Linked DNA regions of Daphnia pulex. Each later gene encodes a partner of the first gene's protein in a complex. Links are inferred from orthologs where the notes say so. Each region holds a gene or a part of one and is shown in the gene's direction. Other genes may lie near its edges. The genes, in order: nuclear pore complex protein Nup205-like, nuclear pore complex protein Nup214-like, nuclear pore complex protein Nup160-like, nuclear pore complex protein Nup153-like, nuclear pore complex protein Nup107-like, PCI domain-containing protein 2-like and nuclear pore complex protein Nup85-like.

Evidence for each region.
Region 2: nuclear pore complex protein Nup205-like (region 1) and nuclear pore complex protein Nup214-like share a complex: the UniProt entries of both Drosophila melanogaster proteins name them as parts of the nuclear pore complex. The link is inferred for Daphnia pulex from reciprocal best matches to the Drosophila melanogaster genes Nup205 and Nup214.
Region 3: nuclear pore complex protein Nup205-like (region 1) and nuclear pore complex protein Nup160-like share a complex: the UniProt entries of both Drosophila melanogaster proteins name them as parts of the nuclear pore complex. The link is inferred for Daphnia pulex from reciprocal best matches to the Drosophila melanogaster genes Nup205 and Nup160.
Region 4: nuclear pore complex protein Nup205-like (region 1) and nuclear pore complex protein Nup153-like share a complex: the UniProt entries of both Drosophila melanogaster proteins name them as parts of the nuclear pore complex. The link is inferred for Daphnia pulex from reciprocal best matches to the Drosophila melanogaster genes Nup205 and Nup153.
Region 5: nuclear pore complex protein Nup205-like (region 1) and nuclear pore complex protein Nup107-like share a complex: the UniProt entries of both Drosophila melanogaster proteins name them as parts of the nuclear pore complex. The link is inferred for Daphnia pulex from reciprocal best matches to the Drosophila melanogaster genes Nup205 and Nup107.
Region 6: nuclear pore complex protein Nup205-like (region 1) and PCI domain-containing protein 2-like share a complex: the UniProt entries of both Drosophila melanogaster proteins name them as parts of the nuclear pore complex. The link is inferred for Daphnia pulex from reciprocal best matches to the Drosophila melanogaster genes Nup205 and PCID2.
Region 7: nuclear pore complex protein Nup205-like (region 1) and nuclear pore complex protein Nup85-like share a complex: the UniProt entries of both Drosophila melanogaster proteins name them as parts of the nuclear pore complex. The link is inferred for Daphnia pulex from reciprocal best matches to the Drosophila melanogaster genes Nup205 and Nup75.

What each region holds. Positions count from the first base shown.
Region 1 is NC_060022.1:5,063,116-5,067,389, reverse strand, and holds the start of nuclear pore complex protein Nup205-like, read left to right. Parts: upstream 1-1,474; 5' UTR 1,475-1,654; coding exon 1,655-1,789; intron 1,790-1,847; coding exon 1,848-2,320; intron 2,321-2,380; coding exon 2,381-3,151; intron 3,152-3,210; coding exon 3,211-3,638; intron 3,639-3,696; coding exon 3,697-3,846; intron 3,847-3,916; coding exon 3,917-4,140; intron 4,141-4,202; coding exon 4,203-4,274. UniProt on the Drosophila melanogaster protein: Plays a role in the nuclear pore complex (NPC) assembly and maintenance, but with limited role in NPC permeability. Required for specific nuclear import pathways such as Mad import.
Region 2 is NC_060027.1:5,448,498-5,452,495, reverse strand, and holds the start of nuclear pore complex protein Nup214-like, read left to right. Parts: upstream 1-1,198; 5' UTR 1,199-1,350; coding exon 1,351-1,383; intron 1,384-1,448; coding exon 1,449-1,787; intron 1,788-1,844; coding exon 1,845-2,035; intron 2,036-2,093; coding exon 2,094-2,402; intron 2,403-2,458; coding exon 2,459-3,662; intron 3,663-3,728; coding exon 3,729-3,856; intron 3,857-3,910; coding exon 3,911-3,998. UniProt on the Drosophila melanogaster protein: Part of the nuclear pore complex. Serves as a docking site in the receptor-mediated import of substrates across the nuclear pore complex including emb, RanGAP and phosphorylated Mad. Protects mbo/Nup88 from proteasomal degradation at the nuclear pore.
Region 3 is NC_060017.1:6,357,211-6,360,032, reverse strand, and holds the end of nuclear pore complex protein Nup160-like, read left to right. Parts: intron 1-21; coding exon 22-274; intron 275-341; coding exon 342-699; intron 700-761; coding exon 762-1,031; intron 1,032-1,098; coding exon 1,099-1,429; intron 1,430-1,499; coding exon 1,500-1,831; intron 1,832-1,904; coding exon 1,905-2,072; intron 2,073-2,151; coding exon 2,152-2,241; 3' UTR 2,242-2,322; downstream 2,323-2,822. UniProt on the Drosophila melanogaster protein: Functions as a component of the nuclear pore complex (NPC). Involved in poly(A)+ RNA transport. Required for nuclear import of Mad. May play a role in double strand break DNA repair. Essential for nephrocyte development.
Region 4 is NC_060021.1:252,442-256,493, reverse strand, and holds the start of nuclear pore complex protein Nup153-like, read left to right. Parts: upstream 1-1,252; 5' UTR 1,253-1,534; coding exon 1,535-1,606; intron 1,607-1,672; coding exon 1,673-1,916; intron 1,917-1,987; coding exon 1,988-2,083; intron 2,084-2,145; coding exon 2,146-2,433; intron 2,434-2,517; coding exon 2,518-2,663; intron 2,664-2,725; coding exon 2,726-3,077; intron 3,078-3,137; coding exon 3,138-4,052. Other genes in the region: double-stranded RNA-binding protein Staufen homolog, read left to right, coding at 1-147, 212-298, 359-457, 540-641. UniProt on the Drosophila melanogaster protein: Component of the nuclear pore complex (NPC), a complex required for the trafficking across the nuclear envelope. Functions as a scaffolding element in the nuclear phase of the NPC.
Region 5 is NC_060019.1:10,133,856-10,137,995, reverse strand, and holds the start of nuclear pore complex protein Nup107-like, read left to right. Parts: upstream 1-1,340; coding exon 1,341-2,120; intron 2,121-2,179; coding exon 2,180-2,525; intron 2,526-2,584; coding exon 2,585-2,936; intron 2,937-2,995; coding exon 2,996-3,464; intron 3,465-3,529; coding exon 3,530-4,140. Other genes in the region: protein BCCIP homolog, read right to left, coding at 1-1, 63-234, 293-456, 531-629, 690-974. UniProt on the Drosophila melanogaster protein: Plays a role in nuclear pore complex (NPC) assembly and maintenance. Required for nuclear import of Mad. Mediates the association between the nuclear pore complex and a subset of active chromatin regions adjacent to lamin-associated domains.
Region 6 is NC_060025.1:7,985,669-7,989,557, forward strand, and holds PCI domain-containing protein 2-like, read left to right. Parts: upstream 1-1,383; 5' UTR 1,384-1,557; coding exon 1,558-1,593; intron 1,594-1,668; coding exon 1,669-1,710; intron 1,711-1,788; coding exon 1,789-1,910; intron 1,911-1,972; coding exon 1,973-2,239; intron 2,240-2,304; coding exon 2,305-2,522; intron 2,523-2,584; coding exon 2,585-2,685; intron 2,686-2,766; coding exon 2,767-2,966; intron 2,967-3,034; coding exon 3,035-3,132; intron 3,133-3,196; coding exon 3,197-3,312; 3' UTR 3,313-3,389; downstream 3,390-3,889. Other genes in the region: b(0,+)-type amino acid transporter 1-like, read right to left, coding at 233-369, 432-477; threonine synthase-like 2, read right to left, coding at 3,564-3,765, 3,847-3,889. UniProt on the Drosophila melanogaster protein: Required for the export of nuclear mRNAs and involved in mRNA trafficking in the cytoplasm.
Region 7 is NC_060023.1:4,665,836-4,669,979, forward strand, and holds nuclear pore complex protein Nup85-like, read left to right. Parts: upstream 1-1,344; 5' UTR 1,345-1,486; coding exon 1,487-1,501; intron 1,502-1,563; coding exon 1,564-1,672; intron 1,673-1,729; coding exon 1,730-2,316; intron 2,317-2,386; coding exon 2,387-2,509; intron 2,510-2,622; coding exon 2,623-2,841; intron 2,842-2,968; coding exon 2,969-3,606; intron 3,607-3,678; coding exon 3,679-3,922; 3' UTR 3,923-4,021; downstream 4,022-4,144. Other genes in the region: rRNA methyltransferase 2, mitochondrial-like, read right to left, coding at 74-334, 406-523, 588-636, 705-844, 952-1,112. UniProt on the Drosophila melanogaster protein: Component of the nuclear pore complex (NPC) that seems to be required for NPC assembly and maintenance. Required for nuclear import of phosphorylated Mad via importin msk.

The sequences.
Region 1 (4,274 bases):
CCATCACACATGCATGTAAAATCTTTACGGGGCACACACAAGCGGCAAAGAGGTGTTTTTCTGTGGATCACGAACGACATTTTTTTTTCAGGATCTCAAATCAGTCTAGAAAGTAGACTCCACAACGACGAGTTATGGAGAGCATCAAAGATTGGATGTGTTTTTTGACCTTATAAAGATATACATATGGTGAAAGCGTCTAGGAGGCAACGACTGGCGATAAACAAAACCACCGTTCTTCGAATTTGAGGAAATAAAAACTTGGGAGGTTTTGAAATAAAAAAAATTAAAATGCTCAATCCTACGATTTCCTCCCCTCCCTTATATCTTTTTCTCTCTTCGCAGTGCGATTGACGATTGGATTTCATTTCTTTATTTTGAGCCCCAATATGCGAATCCTGTAAATAAATGTAACAAGGAAAACATACCCAAATAGGTGGACACCACCGTTCCTAAACGTCCGTCTCCTCACTTCAACCTACCCAACTCTTATGATTATTGTGTTTCTTTTTTTTTTTTTTGAATTTTTTGCCACAATCAAACCGTCAACAGTTCTTTTTTGTGTGTGCGTGAATGCGTGTCATTGAAAGGAAAAAAACCTCTATTCTCGCCCTGATCTTCCTTCATATTTTCCTCATTTACCTTGTTTGAACACTGAAAATTTTTTAAAAAGTAAAAATTATCTTATAAGAAAAATTCTGCTAGAATCGACTTTGTATGTGTGAGTGAGTGTGAGTGTTCGTCTATGGCAACTTGTGGCACAGCGCATCGTGTCTTCGTAAGTGTGCGTCTGTATTATCAAGTCAGTTGGATGACATTAGTGTAATTTGTACAGGTGAAAACAACAAAAAAAAAACAAATTCTCAGTGCTATTATTCTATTTTGTATCGAGATGACGCGTTGGACTCGGTCTCCCAAATTGGGCGTCATTAAATTCTGAAAAAAAAGCGATGTCATCTTTATAATGTTTTCTCGAGCGAAACTGAACTTTTCCCGTATTTCCTTCTGCTCCAACTCCACCACCACTCCTCCACAACAAAAAAAAGCAGCTGAGAGCATTGCTTTTTTGTATAATGATAAAAGGGAACAACTTTTTTGTGCTTGTCGATTAATTATTATTTTTCATTTTCGTGTGTGGTCGGTCTTTTTTTTCAATCTTTTTTCTTGTGCGTGTTATACGTGACTGTTGTGGACAAGATAATGTGTACAGGATAATTTGCAGTTCATTTGTAAATATTACTTGTTACTCTTTTGATTACAAACCGTCTGATCATTCTTAAAATAAGCTGATTCGTTTTTACTTTATTTTTCAAATATCCACACCCTATTTTGAGAAAACAATAAATCCATGGACGAATATTGAATAGATAGATAAATGGGTTTTTGGCGGTAATCGTGTTTCAATTTCAACGCAATTGTTTCAATTTTCTTACTGGCGGGAATTTACTTTGAATAGATGGCGCTGTGATGGTAGGTGGCGTTGGCATCATCTACCGACTACCGGTACGAAAAATTATCACACGACAATTCCCCACAGACGAATTCGAAGTCCAAGTTTCGAATACGTTCAGCTTTTGCCCTTGTGGTTATTAGGTTTTTTTAGTGAAATAAGCTTTACTTTTGGTTGAACTGTCACAAGTTTTAAAATCAAAAGATGTGGACCAAGTCTAAGGACCTCCACAGTCTGGTTGAAGACACAATTAATAACCAGCAATGCAACAGCCTAGACAATCTGGAGAAAGCATTGAAAAATCACCGTTCAGATTTCTCTGCCCTTCTTAAACAGCCGGTAATTTCATGAATCAGATTAAATCTGTGTTCTAAGCTCAAGTCAAATTCATTTTCAGGCAAAAAATCTCGATGACAGAAACCTTCTCCTAAAATCTGTCAAAGAACCTGTTCTTTTCCCTGGAAGAAAGACGACTGCTTCACTTGAACAATCGTTTGTGGATGAAGCACTCATTATCTCTGATATGTTTAATCTAAACGAAAATGTTGCTGTTGAACTTTTACACACAGCAGAACAGCAAATGCATTACTATCCAGAATTAACCAGGGGTTTGATTTCAGTACTGCTGTACTATGATGCTAGACGTGCCATTGTCAATTCATTAAAAATTCTCATCCAAGCAAGGAAAGGAATTTCATGGGCTGTAGACACCAGCGAACAAGTTGTTGACTTAATAACAGAGTACACCGTTAAATTGGTGAAAAAAGGTTTGGTAGATCAAATCATAGCCCTGTTAAGTCAACTGAACCTTGAAAAGGAAATCAATTTGCTCCACGAAAACCGAGCTCTCGGTGGACCAAAACACAGAAGGTTTGTTTACAATTAAGATTAATATTTCTTTCTTTTAATTTTTTGTGTTTTTTATTTTAGACAAGTTCATGATTTCTTCACTGAAATAAGGCAGTCGTTAGCGGACATTGTATTTTGTTTGGCTGCTCAAAATGGACTGTGTAGGGACGATACACTGCTGCTAGTGAATTACCTTTCATCTGTCGAACAAGTCGATAACGTCAACGTCACTCTTTTCATGGCTCTTTTGTATGCTATTGATATCAGCGGTATCGTTAGAACTGAAGAAAGTGAAGACGTCGTCCGGTTGTTACCCATCACTTCGGAAAGTGCATTTGTTGCGACTATTCAAAAGCGTCTGACAGAACCACTTCCTTGGAAGAACATTGGCCTTCAAGCTTCAGTTCAACTTGCCTGGGCAGTGACTTTGGCTACTTTCCGTTCGCTTTCATCTGGACTTTGCGCTCCAATTCAAATGCAGGTTGACGAAGACGAAGCCATCCTAGACGTCGCGTTAGAGGGAAAAGCTTTGAATTTTCTCAGTCATCTACTACAAACCAAAAATCATATCTACAAAGAGGAGTTTTACTTACGGCGATTACATTCACTTGTGACGGATCTAATTGTTCAAATGCCCCTGAAAATCAAAGATCTTCGTAATAAGGCCGATGAAGTTGCACGTAACATCTTTGTCTATCAGCAAGAGGGCCTTGAGCCACCTTCAAACCTGCCGCTGGATTTTCAATGGTTGCTTAACTTTATCGCCGTTCTGTACGGAGAGGATCCTCTAGAGCTGGAACTGTGTCTTGAATTTTGGTCTAGTGACATGGCCAATGCTGGAGTAAACTACAGGTATATGGTTATTGTTTATTTTGAAATAAAAATAAAAACTTATCGCCTTTTTAATGCAGAGTCTCTCAGCGACAAATGGCCCTATATAAGTTTATTCGTTTGGCCGGGGATTTGCTACCGCCTTCTCTCTACATTTCTTATGCCAGCATGCTTTGCGGATTGGCAAATGGAAAGAGGGCAGCTCACCAAGCCTTTACCCTTCTGAAACAAAACAGCAACGGCGGTCAAAGCAATTTGATCTCTTGGGAACACTTTTTCTCATCACTCCACAGATATTTTAACAGTTTGCGCCAAGAGTCGCTCCCTGTACCGGACACCATCTACCGCCACAAGCCCCTCACAAAAGGCATTACACCACAGGAGGTTCAGGGATTGCAGGTCGTTTTGAAGTTAATGCGAATCGTTCTCCAACATGACCCTGTTGCCAGGATATCTTTGGCCGAGAATCCAACATGGATACCATTAGTCGTGATGATCGGACTCTTAGGTAAGTAAAAGCAAATAGCTATCGAATGAACCCGAAAAATACATCTTCTAAATTGTAGGCTGTGCTGTGCCATTGAGTTTGAAGGGAGAGATCATGGAGGTTCTTGCAGCTTTCGCCCAGTCACCTGACATCGCATATACACTGTGGAACAGCATTGAAATAGCTCAGATTTTGTCAACTACAAGCATAGTTTCAACAAATGTCAAAGGTTTGTGCATGAAGATAATTCTATATTAATTTCCTGCCCAGTAAAAAACAAAAAAAGGGTTGAATATTAGGTCTCCACACGGAATTGGAAGATGTTGAGTCTCGAGCTGAAGAATACCCCCTCACAAGAGCCTTTCTTAAATTACTGGACGTGATGACTGATATATCCATCCCAACCAACTTGGGAACTGGACATAGAACGCCTGGATTTGATCCCTACTTATTCTACGTTAAAGATTCCGTTTTCCTGAAATTTAGTGGTAGGGCGTACCGCAATGAAACGGAAAAATGGCAGGTTTGTTCGTTTAGGTTTAAAAAGTTGTAAAACAAAGTCTTAACATTGACTTCGTTTTGTAGATTGGAAATGCCTGTGTAAAGCTATTTTTAAAATTGCTCTCGAATTACGAACCCAGTGTGGATGATTTTCAG
Region 2 (3,998 bases), on another chromosome or scaffold:
AAGGTAATATATATAGCCAATCAATCATAAAACATATGTCAGGATGGCCGAGCGGTCTAAGGCGCCAGACTCAAGCAGGTGCTTGCCAAACTAAAACTTGGTAAATAGGAATTCTGGTCTTCGATAGAAGGCGTGGGTTCAAATCCCACTTCTGACAATCATTATTACAAGGAAATATTTTTGGATGGCACGACGGAGAAACAAGCTGCATACAAACCAGCTTCCTACCCTAGCCCAGCCTATCCTTTCGTACTCCTCATACAAACCTCTGCATACAAGCCCGCATCCATATCTCCGGCTTATCCGAACTACCAAGTAAATATCATATCCTGGCTTCTTGCTATAATTGATACAAATAAAGAAATAAAAGTTTTAAATAAACGATTAGTCAGAGTTTACTAGCAGTAATCTTTTTTCTCCCTGCGTCGCTTAAAAATGAATTTATGCGCTACGGCCGTATGGCGTCGCTGTGTCGCTGTTTCTGAATCTGATCAAATTAAACCAATAATTGTTTATTTGAATAGAAAATTTAAAAAAAAATAATTCCATCTTTTGCGGACTGATAAAGAAAAGGGATCGAGATGAATGAACTACACACAGGTTGGGATGAGGAAGTGAGTCGGATCTAAAGTTTGTCCTAGTTGGATATTCTTTGTCTAATTATGCTAGACTAAGGTTACATGAATTATCATCCAATTGAATCTCTTGAAAAATAATAATGTCCAATCGAGCCAGATTTGAGCAGACCGACCAGAATGTGTAGCCTAATAGATAAGGTGCCAGTTTATCTTACTTATAGATGTTAAGTTATTTAGAAGTTAAGTTAAGTTAATTTTGTTTGTTAATTAGTTCAAAGAGAGACTATTTGCCGTATAAAGAGACCGTGCACCACGATCAGATTTATCGTATATTATATAGTCCCTATTTGTAAATTTATTCCTCGAATATGATTCGTTTGATCGAATGTTTATTGTTTAATCGTTTTGAACAGGGTTTTCAATGAACCAAGTTGATGAAAATATTGTATCTTGCAATTTGGTTGACGTATCACGTAAGCCTTCCCTTTTGAATATCTTAACTCCACTATAGCCCCAAAAGTGATCAGAATTGGAAACACTACCCCTCAGCCCCTACCCTTTCAAAAAAAAGAACCGCGAGTTATTACAATTTAAAAAAATTCAAATTGCTTTGATAGATGGCGTTCACTTGTCACAAGCAGACAGGCAGTGAGGCACTCAAACAGTTAGACATTTCATAAAATTTCGACCGGCTTTGGCTTTGCAACAAAATAAGGTTGAAAGTGCGGTGTGATTTTCTATCCGAATATTACATTGATTATTGAAACTGATAATGGCAAACGTTCCTGATCCTGTTGAAGTCTTGGTAATTTTAAAATACATTTTTTTATTGTTTTCTTTCAATTCAACCAATCTAACTTGTAACAACAGGACTTCAAAATGAAACAGCTGTGTAAGTTTAGAGTCACTAAAAAGGAATATGATGTACAGGACACCACATCATTGCTGGCTACTTCTAATTTGTTTGGTCTGATCTTTGTTGGGACACCTGACAAACTTGTTGTCATCAAAGTTTCAGATCTTATACAAATTGACAATACAACATCAAAAAAATCAGAAATATCATCATTTCCCATCAAGGAAATTCTTTTACCCAACAAACCTAGTTTTGTAACACTGAGCTCTGATAATCTTACCTTAATGGTGTGCCTTCAAAAATCTGGATGCTCAGTAGGTTGGATGTATGATGTTCGTGGATTTGCAAGACAGGTATGATTTAAGGAATTTCATTTTGTGTGATTGAAACAGATTTAAAATCTTTTTCAGTCAGGTGAATGGAATCCCTTCCAGGAAGTCAGGCTTTCGTCTACTGATGGAGTTACTGTGAAAGATTGTGCGTGGAACCCTGTTATACCAACTCTAGTAGCTGTCTGTCTTAGTGATGGCTCTTTAGTTGCAGTGGAGATCAACAACACTCAATTCACTATAAATAGCCTTCCATCAAGTACAGGAGCCCAGTATGTGAATATCCTATTTTGTATGTATGTTATTTTCTTAATTTTATTGAATTATTAGGTCAGTCTGTTGGAGTCCCAAAGGAAAACAGCTAGTTGTGGCCAGGCCTAGTAAACTAGTTCAGTATAAGCCTGATTTAAAGGAAGCCAAGACTATAGCGTTTAGTGGTAGCGATGTCCATATGACTCAGCCAATGGTTTGTGGACTTCAGTGGCTTTCTACAACTCAGTTCCTTGTAACGTTTGTTGATCAAAATGAACCCAATTCTCGTCCCCACCTCTACATAGTCAACGTACAAAAATCGGGGGCAACAACTTTCATAGATTATGACGATGTTTGCTACGGAAGTCCGTCTGAAAGACCACACAGGTATACGAATTTTTTTCATTTTATTATCAATATAATGAATTTTGTTTCTTTTTTAGTTATCTAACATTGAGTTTATCCCCATGGAATGTGTTATTGGCTTGTTCAGCTAACGCAATAGAAGTTGCCGTACTAGCTCAAACAGGAGCTGGAGATGCTGATCACCCTGAATGGAGGCAATGGGCACTAGAAGGTGAATGGCGAGCTGAACTACCATTAAATGAGAATGCTGAGACTAACCCGTTGGGAATGGCCATCGATACCACTAGCCAAATTCCAATCAGTTGGGATGACAATCAAACTTTACCGCCCGCACCCATTCTTTTCATACTCAGCACTCATGGTCTGCTTTGCCCGTTTCATGTTATCAATCTAAAGAACGGTGCTGCCAAATTCAATCAGGCTCCTCAAGAATTGTCGGTCACTGGTGAGAGACCAGCGCTTAGTGGAATTGGTCTCAAGGCGGCTCCATTAGCAGCTTCCACTCCATTACCTGCTGCTGGTAAAATTGCATTTCCTAGAACAAATCTTGGAGAACGATTTGCTGCATTTGCGGATGCTCCTTCCTTAGCAGTCCCAGTTACAACGAAATTACCTTCAAATCCGCCTATTTCGGACTCGTTTTTGGGCAACAAACCCCAACTTCAACCTGCCTTACCTTCAGTGACGAAAGTTGCAACTGCACCTGTTGTACCAGCTGTGAAGATAGAAGCGGTTCCGGTTGTCCCGAAAGCTACTCCACTTACTGTCAAACTTACAAGTCAAACTCCAATCGCAGATGAATCTAACATCCATTCATCCATGGGCGCTGCCGCTGCAATATTACGTGACGAAGTGGCCAAATTCGTTCAAGACTTGAAGGAATTCAAAGCTCGTTCGTTGACTTTGAAAGTTACGATCGCGAGTGATGAGGAGAAAGAACGATTGTTAAAGATGACATCCGATCTGGCTGAGTTTGGTGTGGATCTGGTCGATACTACCAAAGTGCAAGACGAAGAAGTTCGAGGCTTGTGCACTGATTTGGTAGAAGTTGCCGCCCTTTTGGAAGATGCCCGTGTTCGACGTGCTCGTCGCAAAAATTCTCATTTCTGTCATTTGCTCAAGTTACGGCCTCTAGATCCAGGCAATCGCAGAAAAATGGACGGCATTGAGCGCTTGCACGTTCACATAGAACAGCAGCTTATAGAAGCTTCACGAAGCCTAGATTCGATTAGCAGAGACCGTACTAGAGACACCCGCAAAATTGAAATCCCAATAACTCAGGTAAGCTTGTTTTATTATTATTATTACTCTAAAATATTCAGCATCCTATGATTTATTTCATCTCAGGTTATTTATGAAGCAATTAGAAACAATACGAAAGTAATATCACAGTTAAAATCTCGTGTTGAACGAATTATGGTTCAGAGCAAAGAACAGCAACTGAAACTCGCCGGTGCAGCCTTCGAAGCTTTAAGGTATTTGCCATTCATAAATTCACTTAATTATTGAATTAATTGTGTGTTCTGTAGACCAAAGAGTGGTGATGAGTCAAGAAAATGGGAGTCTGAACTGGCTGTTCTGGCTGATTCTCTTTTGTCGTCAAGTATAAGAGGAGAA
Region 3 (2,822 bases), on another chromosome or scaffold:
ACTGATTAAACAATTCCATAGCGACTTTGCCGTGCAAGAGCTTGGTTGAACTCTTCCTATCCTTGGATGGAGGTCAAGCTGTACGAGAAATGGTCCTGCAGGAAGAAGATGCTGCTGAATGGACGTCCTCTTGGTTAGATGTTTTCCCACACTTTATGAAAGCCATTGGCCAGCTGCTTTGGCCCATTGGAAATCACATGACTTTCATGGAATTTCTGATGGAACGCTTCCAACCCTTGGCCGTACAGGGATACGTCCGCCTGCAACAGAACTGGTTTGTAAATATTGTACTTCAATATTAGATGCGTTTATTGATTTTTTTAAATGCAAATTCCGCCCAGGTGTGAATGGAATACGTGCTCTCGAAAATTTCTGATGGCTGTCGCACTTGTGGCTACCGGTGAAGGAGATAAAGCCAGTAAGTGGATGCTTGAAGCTGCTGAAGGAATCATCAAAGAACAACTTCTTCACTCGATTGTCACAAAGGGAGCGAATGAAAGTGGTGACGCTGGAAGTCGTGCTGATCCGGTGATGCGCTTTCATCTCATATGCGTCCAATTGTTAGAGCAGGCGGGACTATGCAGTGCTGCTCTTCGTGTGGCTCTTGTAGCCCTAAACAGTAGTAAAACGGACGACCCCCTTTTGCCTACAATATGGTCGATTGTTGCCAAGCTTCATTTGAACTTGGGCCACTATCAGGTAATAAATCAAACGCATTTTATCAGATTTCACGCCCTTACGTATCCATTCACTGCTAATAGGAAGCATACGAAGCCATCGTAAATAATCCGGATAGCAGTCAGCGACCTGAAACTCTTGGACGTCTGGTCAATATTTTGCTGGAACGCAAGCAGATGGATATTCTTTTAACTTTCCCTTACGCCGGATTGGAATCAGAATTGGAAAAAATTGTGGAGAGAAGGGCTCGCTCATCAGATGTTCTATCTATGACGCTTTATTACTCCTTTCTCTATGCATTTCACGTCCGCCAGGGTAAAATGCGCAAAGCTGCCGCTGTGATGCACGAACAGGTAATGTGTACTATCAACCACTTTAGGCCTTGGATCACCGTTACTGATGTAATTTGTTTCATTAAAGGCACTTCGATATGGATGTGAAGGAGAGTCAGCCAAAATGGTCAAATGTCTTTTGGCTTGTCTCAACGCCCTGCGCCTAGTCTCTAGACAGGAAGCCTGGTTGGTTAAACCAGTAACTACGTTGAATCGTAAGGATTCATCAGAACCGTTTAGACATACGGTTGACGTCATCGAGTATGCTGATATTGAAAAAGAATATGAACTCAGCTACGCTTGTATCAATCTTGGACAGTCAATCACATCTCTTTCTCCTTCGGACGTGGTAGCGCTTTTGACTTCACGCAACCGCTACGAATCGGCACTGCGCATTGCCAGGATCTTTGACGTCAAAGGTATTTTTTATTATTGTTATTACCTTGTCAGAAGTACATTAAGCATGTTTTTCTGCTTGTGTGACTTAAGATACGTCTCCGGTCGTGGAACACTTGGCCGCCAATTGCGTGGCCCTATCGAGAGAACGGGCCAACGAGGATGAAGCCTGGATTTGGTTGTCTCTGAATCAATCGTCTGGAGTAGGCAAGGCTTCAGAGCAAGCCTGGCGGTTATTAGAGAGGATCCTACCAAAAGCAGAAGGAGGGGACAAGCAAACCCGCTGTCATCGTGCAGCGGCCAAAAAAATCCTCGGTTTAGATTGCACCTTGCCTTATTGGTTGGCCGCCAGCTACAAATTGAGGAATCCAGGAGAACTTATCAGCATCTATCATCAAGCAGGGCTTTTAGAAGATGCAGCTCAGGTATTTATAGTTTTTATTGGAATTATTTTAAATAAATATAGATTTAACGGATTCTTTGCCTGACTTTTAATAGGTAGCTCTAGAATTGATGGATGCGATGCTGGGAAAAGGGAAGGAGTACTTTGGATTCGACAGCAACCCGCTCCAGATCAACGCACCTCCTGTATGGATGCCTTACACAGTTTTCGATCGTTTAATCATGGAATTGGAAGCCAACTGTAATGATTCTACCTATAAATCGGTAAATGCTTGTTTGTTTATTTTTTTCTTCTACCTATTATTTATTGAATGTTAATTCATTTTTATGTTTTGACTTTCAGTTACTGAATGACATGAAAGGCAAATTGCACGCTTACTTCCAAACAGCTGAACGTGTTAGTCGCTCTTTTGTCGAGTTATCCATGTCTTAGCTTTCTTTCTTTTTTTATTAATAAAACCCTGAATTTTGTATTACCATTTCAACTGTGTAATAAATACTGAGATTTCCTCGACTTGGAAAGAATGAAAAAAAATTAACAGTAATTTTCCTTGTAAATATTTTGCGGAAGGTTGTCAGCAAACAAACATTTGTTTGTTTCCTCGACCATGACGCTGACGCAAAAGAATTGGACAGATTTTGTTATTTCACTCAAATTGTAAGTTGAACAACGTCATTTTTTTTACATCCAGTTTTGTATGGTTAGTCCTCAGTCATTTAATCAATTAATCAAATATTTCACCTGATTTTAAAAAGAAATTGTTGGTTTGAATCATTATTAGCGTAGCCTCTTATTAATTTCTATAAAAGATGAATTCAAAATTAATGACAATATCATAGACATTTTATCAAATGCAAAAGTAGTTTGACTAATGTGATTTTTAAAATCTGTGAGATTCTAACGGTTAATGGTTAACCTAACTGTTCCCTTGAGAAAGTAGGCGATTAAGTATGGCGACCTGGAAGTGTCTCGACCCGGAAGACCTTGTCCGTATGTCCCGTATAGCGGAGGGG
Region 4 (4,052 bases), on another chromosome or scaffold:
AACAGCAATTGCACAGGTCGTCAAATGGTTCCGGGTCTTCTTTTATTAGGAGGCGGACAGAGTAGGAAAATTGACTCTCCATTCATAACCGATTCATCGAATGCCACTGGAATTAAAGAAACTACTCAATCGTCTCGTCCGCCCAAGGCATGTTTTTCTTATGCCTCTGCCAACACTTCTTAAAATCATATATTTATTACTTAATCTTTAGACTTCTGGAGGGTTGCGCCCGGAAATACGTCTAAGGTACTTGGCCCAAGTACTGGAATACGAGGTCGAGTTTTCCGATTTTCCAAAGGTAATAAACATTTTAAAAACTAATTTTAATTTACTGTTGGAATTAATGTAATATTATTAGGGCAAGAAAGGAGATTTCGTTAGCCTTGTGACCTTGAATACAAATCCTCCGCAAGTGTCGCACGGACTTGGTGCCACTTTGGAAGAAGCCCATGATAACGTAATCATAACTTGACTATATTTTGGCAATCAGCTTAAGTTAATTATTTAATTGATGTTCTTTTTGTTAATTCTTTGCACAGGCTGCTTCCAATATGATGAAATTGCTTTCTGAAGGGTCTCAAGATGACACCGTTGGTCCCAACAAAGAAAACGCAGATCAACGAAGCACAGGACCCCAATAATTTTGTTTTTCCTATAATGCCCTGTTTGATATGTTGAGATTTGAAATGAGATTGTCTCATATCTATTTAATTTAGTTTTTGTGTCATTTAACTTAATATTCAAGCACGCTATCACGATTTTTCTTTTGTTATTCATTTGTGGGTTTGCAGTCAAAACTATTTTTCTTTGTCTTTCACTCTTTTTTTCCCCCTTCTACATTGTACACGGTTCAGCTTTTTATTTCATTATTTTTCATTTAACGGTTATTTGTATTTATTTTCAAATAAAATCAGGAGCTTATCTCTTGCTGACTCTTTATCATGTGTGGAAGAAAAAAAAAGAATTTTGAAAATGAATAATCTGTACCGTTGACTAAAAGAACGAAAATCAGAAAAAAATGGGTGCAAGTTCTAAGATTATGCAATCATACTGATCATACTTTTACGTAATACTGCACTACTGCATTAAAGAACTTGCGTTTTTTTTTACATGGCGCAGCGTGATACCTATATTTGCAGCACACATTACTAGTGGCTGTTTTATGTAACAGCGCTAGCCAAAATGAAAATTAATTTCATGCATGGGGGGAGGGGGTTACCGCATGCGAATTAGGCAATTTCTTTTAGTTCGATCGGTTGATTCATCGAGAATGGTCGAGAAGGGTTCCGCTGGAGCCAAACTATAGCCCGTCACAAACGCCCTCTACTGATAAATTTATAAGTTCTTTGAGCAACATCGTTCTTCATTTGTTTCTCGTAACCGCCAATCAGATCTTTCTAAACTTAAAAAAAATCCGCCATCTTTTCTCGGCACTTTTTTCCTCGCCGCGTGTGGGTCGTGGTGCGACGGGTTAAAGCTGTTTTCTTGCAACAGTATCTGATTTCCGTATTGATTGATAATTTCTAAAACAGTCATGTGGGAAGATAATTTAGGTAAAGTCAAGGCAAGGCGGAGCAAAAATTCAAAACCATACGAAAGGCCCAAGGTAAGACTAAAATACGTTTGTGTGAGTTTGTGAAACCCCAACTATATCCGGCTTTTTGTCTATCAGTCGATTTTGAGGCGAGTAACAGATTCAGTTACTGGATTGTTACCACAACCTTCTTGGCTGGTGAATTGGTTACAATCTACATCAGCTAAAAAAGAAGATAGTGAAAATGATGAAGTTGAGGAAGAACAACCTGTGCCGTCAACCAGTTCATCCAGCAATGGTAACAGCTCCCACCGAGAAGGTGTTGAAAGAGAGTCCTTCATATTTCGCAGACCACCTGGGACATCCAAAGAACAAAGCAACAGTAAGTTTTTTTCATCAATGTTCTGCTCCCTTCAAACTGTGTAACACATGCTTCTTTTTTTGTTTGACTTGCAGTAAGAGCTCGTCCAAATGTCCCTTCTTTGGACTTACTTCCAGAGCCAGTAGTGGTTGAATCAAGTTCAAGAGAACAAATCGTTCAAACAAATGGTTTGTATTAAACACTGATTTTCAAACTTTTATGACATCTCACATCTCATTTCCTCTGACAGGTGATGATGACTCCAACTCAGAGTCAACTAGCGGATGTTCCTCATTGTTACCACATCTCGAGCATAAGAGGGAGAGCAGAAATATAGAACTATCAAGTTTGGGAGTTGCTGAACCTCTCTCTATTAATCAATCTTCACTGCAAATCATTGGAAGCTCTTTGAGCAAGTCCCTAGCAGTTGACCTAAAAAATAGCCGTGGACGCAAAACTCTCAGCCTTCATACTTTTGGTCATGATACAAGTTCAGGTATAACTCCCACAGAAGAATCAAGGTTCCACAAGGATACAGGTAGATTTCTAATGACATTTTCATCATTTTGTAGTCAAGAATTTTGCTTACAAATGAGTCTAATGTATTGTTTTTGATTTGTAGAAGAGGCTAGTGGCTCATTTTTCGACAAAGACGACACTTCACTCAATCGTTCAGCTGCCAAGCGAGACCTTTCCCAACCTCAACTTTCATCGTATGGAAGCAAGAGACCACGCTTCAATATAACTTCATTTGGACCTACGGCTGCTGTAAGTCTTGAATTTAATTTACTAACAAAGTCTGGACTCTATTCTTTTATTACTTCCAACAGGAGGCTAGGCGGTCTTTAATGAACGAGAGTGTTGTAGACTCACCATTTTATGCTGGTAAGACGACTTACGGTGGTGCTTCAGCTTATCGCCGTGCCACTTTACAACCTTCAGCTGCACTATTCCCATACGTGCGAAGTCGAATTCAGGCTAGGCCTGCGTCTTCAGCTCCATCCACTTCGAGTTCTGTTGCTTCTACCAGTTCGTCAAATGTTGTACTTAGTAGTTCAGCGCAACGAATCCTTCAAGCACTCGAAGCCATGTCAACACCAGTGAGAGATGCAAAAAGGATTCCTGCTGCATCCAACAGTAAACGATCCACTTCTTTACAAGGCGAAGAACTTTCGTTCACTGGTAAATTGATAAAAGTTATGAATTGCTTAACGTTATAATAATTTCGCTTTGTGTTTAAAGGGTTTGGTTTGAGTCGCCGACGTCCAAATTTGGGACCTCCAACTTCCAAATTATCTGTCGGTACTCCGGCACAGATTGTCACCCGACCAGCTCCAGCAAACTTGTCTCAAATAGAACCAGCACTAGTATCGAGCACCCCCATCAGTGCCCAGGTTGGTGGCAAGATGCGAATGAGGATGTCAGCACCACTTCGCAAATCGGCTCCTCGTATTCGAGAGGATGAAGATGTAGAGTCGGAGGAGCTCACTGCTGTGCCAATGCCCATTAGTATAGCAGGTCTACCTAGTTTCAACTTGCTACCTCCTTGCTCGGTGGTAGAAAAAGCAACTGTTGTATCGACGAAGACTTCAGTGAAAACAGCAGCAGTAATGAGTTCCAATGGATTGGTTAGTTCTTCAATGACGAGTACCTCAACACCTCGTCCAGCTTTCACGTTTTCAGCACCGTTGGTTACCGTCAGTCCGTACAAGGTAGATGCAGCCGTCAGTTCGAAGCCGCTCAGTTTCAACTTCAGCTCCCCATTGCTCGTCAACGCTTCTCCGAAAAAAACACCAGAGAAGGAGACTCCAACTAAACCCGCAGAAGTGGAATTGAAATCTGGAAGTGTCCTTGATGTTCTCAGAGGGAAAAGTCAAGAAGCTGTGCCCGTTTTGGAGCCAGTTATTAAGTCACCACCGGTTCTTTCAGGATTTGGAGATAAATTCAAGGCACCTACCGATTCTTGGACATGTTCTGTCTGTTGCGTTCCCAATTCCAAGGACAAATCTTCGTGTGTGGCATGCGAATCTCCAGCCCCCAATGCAGTAAAAGCAATGCCTATTGCTCCTGCTGCTGCTGCTGCTCCTGTTGCGCCTCCAACAAAAGGATTCGGTGATCAATTTAAAATGACCGCCGCTCAATGGGAATGTTCTGTGT
Region 5 (4,140 bases), on another chromosome or scaffold:
TCTATTTGACGAAATTTTATTACAACCTACTCTACTTAGGCGTGGAATTAATAGATGAATACCTCTGAAATTGGTTCTTCTTCTGCATTAACCCATAATATGGTGGCTCCTCCTTTGACTTTTTTTTTCCTTGATTCAGGATCTTTTCTTGTAGATTCATGAAGTTTGGAAATTAAAATGAAGTGTGTAAAGTCAAAAGGCTTTCCAGATTTTTTTGCTTCATCAATCTCCTTACTATTAACAAAATTTTACATTTAAACTTGGGATATAATTCAAATTAAGTCTTGTATACCATAGATTTTCCAGTAGGGGAACAGAAACTTGAGGTGGTATGTTTATGAACCTTTCATTGAATATAAGTCCTATCTGGTTAGATGGATCATCAAACAATCCACTCAGTTTCTTCTGTGTTTTTTCCAACAGGTACTTTTTTACTTCTTTAATACATTCCACATCCTAGGAAAAGTAAATAACAAAAAAAATTGGGTTAATTGTAATTTGTGTAACACAAATTCAAAATTTTATCTCACCTTGTGATGTGTCAAGTTAATTACAGAAGTAATTCCAAAAACTTCATCAAGAGAATTTCCTTCATCATCACTATCAGGTTCATCATTATCCACACATTGCTGAAGAAGTAGATATCTTTAGTAAAGTACACAAATTACATCTTCACAAGATTTTATTACCTGTAATATACTTCCAATGTAGTTTTGCTGAATGATGAGTTCCGTCAGACCACTTAAATTAATATGAGCCTTTAGGAAAAGCTGATGCATTAGACTCTTGATACCGTGAAAATCTTCAGCGATTGGTGATTGACCTTCAAAGTCGACTTGAATCTCTCGGTCGTTCTCTCCAAGTTGCTCATCTTCACCCATTTCTTCATCTTGAGAATCATTTTCTTCTTCTTCTTCCTCTGAAGAATCGCTGCTATCTTCTTCCATAGGCCGTTTAGTATTGAAATTCGCCATGATTTTTAAAGACAATTTTTCACACGTGTCAAAAAGTCAAAAACAAACTTAAGTTTGTCTGCTAGGAAGGGGTAGGAAGGAAGTGAAGTGAACATTCAAATTGTTTGAAATAAAATCTTAAAAATTGAGTTAAAAAATAGAATAAAATTGTATTAAATATTATAACAATTATAAAAATCAAATCATTACTATTTCAATTTCAATTAATTATAATTATTTTAATGAATAAAACTTTGAACGTGAATTGCAACGCCCTTTTACTTAGTCTGCTACGTTACAATAAAACGAAAAACGGAAAACTTCAAACCTTCAAACTTCTTCTTTATAAGACAGTGAATTTTATTGTATCTTTTTAAAATAAGCACAATGGAGTTTCAATCTCCAATTATTGCCGGTTCTAACTCAACTGTTACTGGCAAACTAAATCTTCCTGGTCGAAGAATAAAGCACTCACTCGAAAAGACATCAGACATGTTGGGGGCCAGTTGCCTCCCTTCTCCTAACCGACATAATACAATGTCTTTTATGTCTGATGATCTTAGCCACACTATTTTCGAAAGTGATCCTACATTTACGAGAATTGGTGCTGGTTTACAAAGGAAAAATCTGGATTCGACAAGAGCAGACTTAACAGTGAGCAATGTATCACGAAAGAAACGAAATGAAGAACTCATGAGCATCCTTCTAGAAGAAGAAGTTCCAGGAGTAGAAAATGTCTTAGAACTATTTGAGAGATTCCTCAAAACATTTCAGTCATATGGGGCAGAACATCAAGTGTTTAATCAGTGTGCAGAATATGAGTCAGAATGTGGAGAACAAGTATCTGCTTTGCGAAAATTGATTCAAATGGCCCCTCGTGGACACAACAAACTATCACAAGCACAAGAATTGGAGCAAGAACTGAGACTTGAGCGTGACACATGGAGATTGGTTGCATCTCTCTACCAAGATCGTTTAAACTCTGAATTTCATGACAGTGAAATGGAGTCTGATGAAATCTGGAGTGGATTGGATGATGTTACAAGTGAAGATGACTTGGTAAAACAACTCTATGACAAAAATGCCATAATCAGACAGGCTCAGCTCGTAGTCGATTGGCTGGAACAACGAGCGGCTGATGTCTATCACGATTCCCATTACAGCCAGGTATTTTTTAATGTAATTAAAATTTTCTTTTATTAAATAATATATTATACTCTAATTAGGTGGAGTTTTACGGAGATGCGGTTGCCGGCTGGGAAAATACTCTTCATTCTTTGGTCAGTAAAAAACGAGGGCTTAGTACAGATAACGTCGAGCAAAATATGGTTACTCAAATGGATCCCGATGCTCCTAACCGAGAACAAAACAGACGTCTTCACCCACTTGACAAAGAAGATGAAATGCGTTTGCTTCGTTCTGTATTTGCTCGACTCCGTTGTGGACAGCTGGATGAAGCCCAGCAGCTCTGTTTCCGAGCAGGTCAACCATTTCGGGCTGCAATTTTGGAAGGATGGAAACTGTTTCATGATCCCAACATGAAATCTCGCACGGATGTAGCCAACACGAAAGGTAATTTCCAGATTTGTAGAAACCAATGGATTCGATAAAAATATTTATCTCAACTGTAGAGTCGCCATCTGGAAATCCTTATCGTGACATATGGAAGACGATGACTTGGAAAGAGTGCGAAAATGTGCAGTTGTCGGAGGAAGAGCGCGCAATCTTTGCTCTTCTTTGTGGACATTTGAAAGCCCTTTTACCTGCCTGTCGTTCCTGGGAAGATCAACTGTGGGCTCATCTGCGTGCCATGATCGACCACTGTGTCGAGAAGGAACTTCGTCGCTGTGTCAATTATAAACGGCAACTTCAAATTCTACCAGACGAATATTGGAATCAACAGTTGACCGTCGAGTCCATTTTCTCAACTTTAGCTGCCTCCAGAGATAAGACTTTGATCGCCCAAGGCCGTGACCAATATAGGTGACTAATTCTTTAATTTGTCTAATGCGAAATTTACCAAAGCAAATTTTGAAATGCAGGATCATACAGCGCTACCTTATTATGGATGATGTTGACGGATTACTTGAAGAAATGTCGTCTTGGCTGAAACAAGGTGACAGCTGGAGCGTTCACCTACGCCCTCACATGATCCGGCTAATGTCCCATCTTGCTCTGTTCTTCCGGCGCATCGGTCGTGGCTCATGTGACGATTCCATCGGATCCATCCTGGAAGCTTACGTTCTACAACTTGTCAATCTTGGACGAACTGATTTGGCGGCTGTCTATGTTGGACAATTGCCTTTGCCAGAAGATCAAATTCGCCTGTATGCTCAATGCCTCGTTATGGTAGAGGAACAGGAAGAATCCTGTGACGACGAGGAGCGAAGGCGCCTCCTATCTTTGGCCCAGGATGTCGGACTTGATGTCAACGCTATCGCCAAACAAGTTGTAATCAAACTTTGCGACCAGGGCGGAATGGTCCAACACGTCACTGATGCTTCTCTACAGGTGATTAATATAGATTTCGATCTGCATTCGTGCATAGCGTACTCATAATTGTTTAATACTTTTAGGTAGCGACCACGGCAGAAGATGAACGCCGGATACGTTCACTGAGCTGGTTGTTAATGGATCCGTCAATGCGAAGTCAATTGCTTATCCAAGCCAACACTCTCATGCGGGGATACCTTCTCCGTCGTCAGATTGAAGCTGTGAAGCTGACGTTCCAGTTGACTCCACCCGACACAGTCGCCATATTGACCGAACTATGGGAATCACGAACTGGATTGACGGATTTGCCCACTGAAGTCGAGGCTGCTGTCCGTGAATACCTTTGCATCCAGACTTACATTGATGCACTAGACGCCTTTCAAGAATGGTTCACACGTTTCCATCACTCCAAGCCCAAGAAAACAGAAGCTACCGTTCAACAACAGCGAGGAGGAGCCAGTTCTCAACTATCATTCACTGAAAACTTACTCAAAGAACAGCATCTTAAGCAACATCAAGTTGAAATTCAACGCTGGCAGGCAGCCGTCGATTCCCTCACGCAATCAGCTATTGACAAACTGTATAACGTCCTACTTTTTCCTGACGGAGGCTGGATGGTTGATAGCATGTCCTTCGAGGAGGAAAATTCTCCCCGACAACAGCAACAACAGTTGTTGCGACAAACTTGCATCCC
Region 6 (3,889 bases), on another chromosome or scaffold:
ATGACAACGGAAAGAAACGTTGCGTTATCTTTGGCCTATCCTCGCCTTGATAAATATTTAGATAATAAATAGCATCTTTTAGGGTCTTTTTGGATGTAACCAATGAGACGAAACGTTGTTTCTTTTATCTGTTTACATGCGTCTGTCACCACTCGGGTGCATGCTGTACTATGATTATTTGCCACTGAGATAACTTTATTATACTTGTTAAAACAGAACAAAGGAAACTTACCCGTCGATTCATTTGCAGTTCATCTTTAATGTTTGACACGGCATCGGTTAAGCTACTGTCATTAATACTGTTGGTCGAACTACTATGTCCATGATCGTCTTTTGATAAAGATTCTGTACGATTTTTATTCGTATCGTCTGAATGTCACAAAGAAAAATGTACATGTCATTGAAAAATGTGTTAAAGAAAATGTATTTACCTTGAGATGAGCGTTGTCGAATTGAATCACTTTCGGGAATAGTCATGTTGGAGCAATACGGAAATTATCCAGCCGAAAATCTAGAAGGGAAATATTTAAATTGGACCTTTGAAAATCCGTGTGCGAACGTATGGAAACGAAGTTTCCCTCCTACTATTTGCACACGTGATGCACTATATTTAATTGACTGTCAAAATAGGGCCACTGGGGCTCGTTGTCGACTAAAAGCGAATGATACAAAAGAAAAACTAGTAGTCAGGGGAGGCCGAAATAAGAATAGATCGGAAGTAGAAAAAGAGGGGGGAGAGAATGGAAACACGAGTGGTTCGGTCCACTCTTAAAGTAGAGCTGATTATTATTGACCATTCGCTGCTGATGCTGCTGTATCTTTTTTTACAGGGTTTAGCGTAAACCCGCCTATATACACACACACTGCAGTGTGTGTGGACTGCCCGCTGAGCGGCTAATCTATGTACTCAAGAGTTTTAAGCCATTTTGACATGTTTGTTCACTCTCTCTCTTCATACTTCTTAGTGAGGTATGAAATCATCTTAGACTGGCGCCACGCTTTTTAATTAGTCTGTCCAGGAGGTAGTTGATCCTTGTTTTTTTTTTTTTTACTTGGAACTCCTCTGTGCAATTTATATGTTATTGGAATCCCGACTCAATGTTTTATACATTTATACAGTACAGTCCTGCGTCAATTGTTTTGTTGGATTAAATCACATGCATTATCTCAGTTGTTGGATATGCATGATATGGAACCAGTTCTTTCTCAACTCATTCTATTTATGTTTATGTTGCGGCATGTTCAGTCGTAAAATAATATAATTCTTATTTTACTTTGTGGTTTTTCCTCCCTTTCGAGATCGAAAAACTTTGATAACAAGCGCGGCGTAAAATTTGAAATTGTAAATATGTAATTCAACTTGTTACCGCTAGATGACGTAAGAGTTTCTAGCAGACGAAGAGCTGAGGAACAATTCGAAAGCGACCGGTCGGCGTGATTATTGAAATTTTCTGTCAAATAATATCCAATTGTGTTTCGCCAAAATTAGATTTCTGTAAGCCACCGATGTCCAGTTTTAAGTTAGTCTCGAAAAATCATTTCTAAGACACTAAAAAAATGGCTAACTTGAATTTGAATCAATATTTACGTGAGGTAACACAGCGCGTCACAAACAGAATGCATTGTTTACACATCTTTAGTTGATTGTTTTTATTTAAACTATTTTAGATTCAATCTTCATGGCAATCTCGAAGTGGAACTGAAGTTTCAGTAAGAAATTCAAAATTAAATTTCTTGTAAAATCATGCTCATGCAATACTTCACGTCTTCTTATTTTGAAACCTTTAGGAACTCCTGTCATTCAATCACCCACATGTTATGAGCTCCAAACTTATTTTGGAGGGATTTGAAAAGTCTGTTGAAAGAATCGTGGAAGCTCCTTTTGATGAGATTGTTGTCCTTCATCTCAGGTATACAGTTGAACTTTCATCAATTTTAAATTTTGGTTTCAACTTTCAATTTTACCATCTAGATGCTTAAGCTATATCAACCAGCAAAAGTATTTAGAAGCATACTCTGAGCAAAGTGCTTTGGTACAGGCGTTTACAAAGCTCTTTCAGACACAGAAGGAAGACAACTGGGCTTTATTCATCATGTATGTCATAAGTTTAGATTTGCGTATGTTTGCAATCAAAGCAGACAAAGAATTGGCCAAAAAAGGAGCAGACAAACCAGGACAAACACTTGAAAAGGCTGCAGAGTGCCTCATGGGACTTTTTAGAGTGTGTGCTGCTGACAAGTAAGAAATAACATTTTGCGACTTATGTAGTAACTAGGTACTCATTCTTTTGTTTGAATTTACAGTCGGTCATCTGATGAAGATACAAAACGCTGGGGAATGCTGTATTTGGTCAACCAGCTGTTGAAAATCTACTTTAGAATAAACAAATTGCATCTTTGTAAGGCTCTTATTCGCGCAATTGATGCCTCCCAGTTCAAGGACCAGTTCTCCCTCAGCCAACAAGTGACTTACCGATACTATGTCGGCAGAAAGGCCATTTTCGAAAGTGATTTCAAAAGCGGTGAGCAGAGTAACATAAATTTCTAAAAGATAATCAATTCTTATATTTAATTTCGCATTTAGCTGAGAAATATTTATCCTACGCGTTTGAGCGGTGTCACAAGAACTGCCGCGCCAACAAACGACTGATTTTAATCTACCTGATTCCCGTCAAAATGCTTTTGGTATGACTTTCATTTGTTGTGTACACATAATGCGATGGAAAACGGAAGGAAGATGCTTAACGTATTACATTTCATTTAAAGGGTCATCTTCCTACAACCCAATTGCTGAGAAAGTATGACCTTCTACAGTTTAGCGAAGTGGTGCAAGCTGTTAGGGAGGGTAATCTCCGGAGACTCAACAATGCCCTTCTTCAACACGATGCCTTTTTCATTCGCTGCGGTGTTTATTTGATTCTTGAAAAGTTAAAAGTCACCACCTACAGAAACTTGTTTAAGAAAGTGTAAGGGATTTTATTGTTGGTGTTGAAAGATGAGCCGACATGATTTCTTTTGAATTTATAATTTTCAGAACTTTGCTCATGAAAACTCATCAAATCCCGATCGAAGCCTATCTTGAGGCCTTAAAATTCATGGGAGTTGAAGACATAGACTTGGACGAGACGCAATGTATAGTGTTACATAAATTAATGTGGCTTTTATAGAATTTGATCCATTTCTTTTTATAACGCAGGTATCATTGCAAACCTCATCTTTGAGAACAAAATCAAAGGGTACATTTCCAACAGCCACAACAAGCTGGTAATCAGCAAGCAGAATGCGTTCCCATCGCTGGCTGCTATCGTATAAGTTGGATCTAATATCTCTTACACACACCTGTTTTCGCGACTAATTGAAACAAAATAATAAATTTCTTATTGAACGAATTGTTTCTTGCTTCCTATTTTTGTATTAAGTAATAGTTTTAGCTGTTTTCTTGTTTCAAAGTCTTACATATTTGTGTTAGGTTTCACCTGACTACGCTATTCTACACCAAAACTGAGTGAATCTCAGGTAAATATTCAAATTTGTTTGTGACGATATTCAACGGTTTTTTCCCCCTAAATCTTAAGGATGATATCTTTTAATTGACTTGTCCAATCGTGGCCCTTTAGGAAGACGTGTCGGGGTGTACAAATTTCGGTATCCATTTTTAATCTCTCCACTCTATGGTGTGTCGACTTGTCCAATCCTGCCGCTTCACAGGCCTCGGGGAATTTCGCCGGTGATGCCGTAGCTAGACAAACGAATACCTGTTTTCCCCTACAAACCAATAAAGGTGACCGGAAGAAACTCATTAAACCGGATCAAGTACATGGGGAGAGAACAAAAATAAATACTCACCTCTGATCTACGTTGAAACAGTAGGAGACTGCCGTTGCAGTGT
Region 7 (4,144 bases), on another chromosome or scaffold:
TTGAATACATGGATGAAGCAAAATTTCAGTAGACTTCAATGTGAATAAAGCAAAGTAAGTAGTTAAATAATTACTATGTATTTTTCTTGAAATTACTAGCTAGTATAAACATTTCAGCTGAATCCTGTCTACTACTAGGTGGTTTCACAACTTTGACTTGAGAATAGTGTAATGCAATCTCATTCTCCAGTTGTTTGATTCTTCCTCCTGCCCATAATTTTATCAATAGCGTAGCTCCGTCCATAGAGATTTGTTGCGCGTAACGCAGCACTGAATATGCTAATTCTAATATCCTATCTTGATCCAAATCTCGTATACCCGATGCTGCAGGAGCCTAAATTTAATTAGCAAATATTAATTGAAATAATTTAAGGTAAAAAAAAACTGAAATAAAATCAGCCCTACCATATCACTTAGGACTGCATTAGCAAGTTGCCCACCAAGTATTTCTGTTATTCTGGTCTGGGACAAACTTTTTGTGAAATCTAATGGAGCCAAGATTACAGCTCCTTCAATTGGGTACCTGAAAGAATAAAATTGAATAATGTTAGTGAACTAAGGGTACCAAAACTTTGCAGCCCTTTTACATTGGTTGAAGATCAACTGCTACATGCTTTCCTTTAAGCTGAGAAGACACTGCATGAAATCCATAAACATTCTAGTGTCATTTTAATTAGGCTAAATAGTTAAACAATTCAATCTACCTTTTCCTGTTGCATTAATTCGTTTTACACATACTTGTGTCCAAGCACCAGGTGCAGCGCCACATTCTACAACCACATCTCCAGGTTTAAGGAATTTGTGTTTGTCATCAATTTCAATCAATTTAAAGGCACTTCTAGCTCTTTCTTGGTTAATAAGAAGTAGTAAATATTAGACAACAATTAAACTGAAGCTATAGCCTGTTAATTGAAAATATTGAAATCATAATTTTTATTTGAAAATTACTACCTATAATTTTCCATTTTGGCTTTAAGAACATACTCGTCATTCATTTGCCGAGTTAGCCATTCTTGAGAACTTTTACTGCGGCCCTTTAGCCGATCGGGCACTTTTTTAAAGCATGTTGAAGACGAACAAAACTGTCTTACTGAACAAACGGCAATGTTCATAGCAAAAACTTTGTTGAAACGGATATTTTAATATGGATCAAATAAATTCTTCAGGTGAAAAGCGATAAACAACTTGAAAGTATTAATGAAACAGCAATATAACATCACCTAATAAGATCAAGTAGACTATGATATTTTGTCAACAAACAAGCAGCCACGAAAATTGAAATTTCCGCTATCGACATTCGGCAGCACAGGTCATAGTTACCGCCGTAACCATGGCCATTGCAGTATGGTGTAAAACCGAAGCAGCAGACGACAGATTAGAAATATTTCAAAAAAGTACTCGTTACGAGTTCTGACTGTTAGTTGAAATCCTTCTGAATCCTACACACAATTACGATTTGTGACGTGATTTTCACGCATTTTACAGAATGCTTGAACCTATTGTAATAATAATTTCGAATTGTTCATGGTATACATATTTGTAACCAAACTTTCTTTGTTTTAGGGAATACAAGATCCTCTATTTGCATACAACAAAGATGTTGGGCATTCTTGGGGTTATGGTAACAGCTTGGCTGTATTTCCAACAGAATTTTCCAAGTCGATCACCTCTGGTAAGTTCTTTCTGGAAGTTAGCCAAAAAACTCCTACTAAGTTTTTCTCAATGACAGGTCCAGTTAGTCCCCAGACTTGTAAGAAGAAGCTTTATACAATTTCTTGGGAGCGAACCTTGTACAATCCTTTTGTTCGCAAGCTGGTCAATGAATCCTGTGGAGCATTTACTTCTTTACAAATTAAGGCTGGCACAGATGGCCAAATCAGCTCATCTGAGTTAATTAAATCCAGTCATCAGTATCGTTGTATAATGAATGCATGCATTGAAGATTTGAACCAAGCAGCAGATCTTGCTAACAGTGTTGAATCTAATCAAGCACTTCAAGAAATGAGTGAAATATTTTACAAAGCTGAGTTGGTGTGGAATTTGTGTGAAATTCTGTATCTTGAGAACCCACTTGGAATTCTGCCACACCTATTAGAATGGATTCGTATTCATTTTCCAAATGCAGTAGAAGAAACTGGTACAGTTTTAGCATCACCAAATCCTGGACTCCATGAAAGCTATTGGAAAGCTCTCTATGGACTAGTGTTTCAGTTACGCTTAGAAAGTGCTACCAAACTGTTAAGAATTCATCCTGATTTCCAGAGTGAAGCTTTTCAGAGTGCATATGAGTTGCTGAAGAAAATGCCAGTCTTTAGTGTAAGAAAGTTCTTGTAATTTAGATAGATTAACAATTTTTCTATCTCCTAAGTATTTCTGTTCTATTTAGGCCAACTCAACTGTTTCTGCTCCAGAGTTTACCTTCAGATGGAATCATTGGAAAGAAGAATGTGAGGCTCGCACTCAAGCTGGAGATTTCTTCGAATCAAAAGATTTAGAACTTCTAATGGAGGTATATAATGTTTTATATATAATGATCTCTTAATTCCCATTTTTATTTTCATTAGTTTATGTTGTATGTCTTTTGTCTAACTTACATAAACTTTCTATTTACTTACGATAAAGATACTATGTGGCAAAGAAGAAGCATTTGAAAAAGTTGGCGATCATTTCGAAACTTGGTATCAACGAATGATTACTCAGTTAACGTTCACGCAACCCACAATTGGAACGTTATCTTTGGGAGATGAAGCCGAACAGTTTTTTGCTTCCTTAATCGGATTAGATGATTTGACGTCACTAGATGCAACACTTTTGGCCGTTCTTCGTCGCGACACGCGTAAAGTGAGTATCGCTGTTATCAATGGATAAGAGTTTTAAGCAAGTTTGATAAGAGTTCATGCAAGTATCAAGACACTACCAACATAATTAACTGGAAACGTTTTATATCTGTTCAAATTTGTTGTCACAGGTGATTGGAGAAATGCAAGGAGTATTGGATAATTCTTGGTTTACGGCACATCTCGCTGATTTATTGTATCACGCCGGAGCACTTCAGTCGTTCGAAGACATTAACTCACTACAGCTGAGAGAAACTTTGCTTCGTGACTACTCGATTTGCTTATTTAGCCACCAATCCTTGTGGTCGGTTGGTGTTCTCTATCTTGACCATTGCCCTAATGTTGGTTCTGCGACTCTGGAACACTTGCTCACTCGACTTCCGTGCCAGTCGGAAATGAAGGCAACCAAAATAATTTCACTTGCCGAGCGAAGAAAACTAACATCAGTGGTAACTTCCGTCTGTCGTGTAATGGGTCGACGGGCCTTGGCCAATGGACGACTTGGTGCGGCAGTCGCTTGGGCTGTTAAGGCGCAAGACGCTCCTCTTGCTACCTATGCCGCCGATGCTGTTCTGAAGAGTTACCTTCAAGATTCAGATTTTACTTCGACGGACTTGCTAGACTCACTGGGTGCTGGACTTCTTGCCAGCGATCGATTGGCTTTCCTTGGGAAATATCGCGAGTTTCATCGTCTTTACAATTCAAACGATTTTCATTCAGCAGCTGGCCTTTTGATCTCTTTAATCTCATCACGGATTGCACCGAAATAGTAAGTAGCCTAACCACTAACCATGTTATCATAATTGCAGCTGCCTAATAATTATTGAAATTTCGTTTTCAGCTTTTGGACCGTTTTGCTCATGGACGCACTACCATTATTAGAAACAAATCCGCCAGTTTTCACTTCAGAACAAACTTACGAATTAATGCAAAGTCTACAGGAGTTGACGTCTTCGTTTCAAGATGATGCTGAAATCAACCCCCATCCAAACTGCCAACTCAATTCTGATAAAACAATGTTAATAACTTTAGCATTAAGTCGAAATTTGGCGAAATGTTTTGTACAACAAACTGTTTGTGATTAATGGGATGAAATTGTCTTTTCCACTTCGAATTTACTGCGTGGTATTAATCCACTTTAAGAGGGAAATTTGAATACATCCATATTGTGTTTCTTCTTTAAATAGTTTTCCAACAAATTTTCTGGCTGTCGTTCGTGTACCAAATTAAATGTTTTGTTTTTTTTTGTTTTTTTTATGACTGGACTTGATAAGGACTGTATAGCACAGTTTCTTTTTTTAATTTCA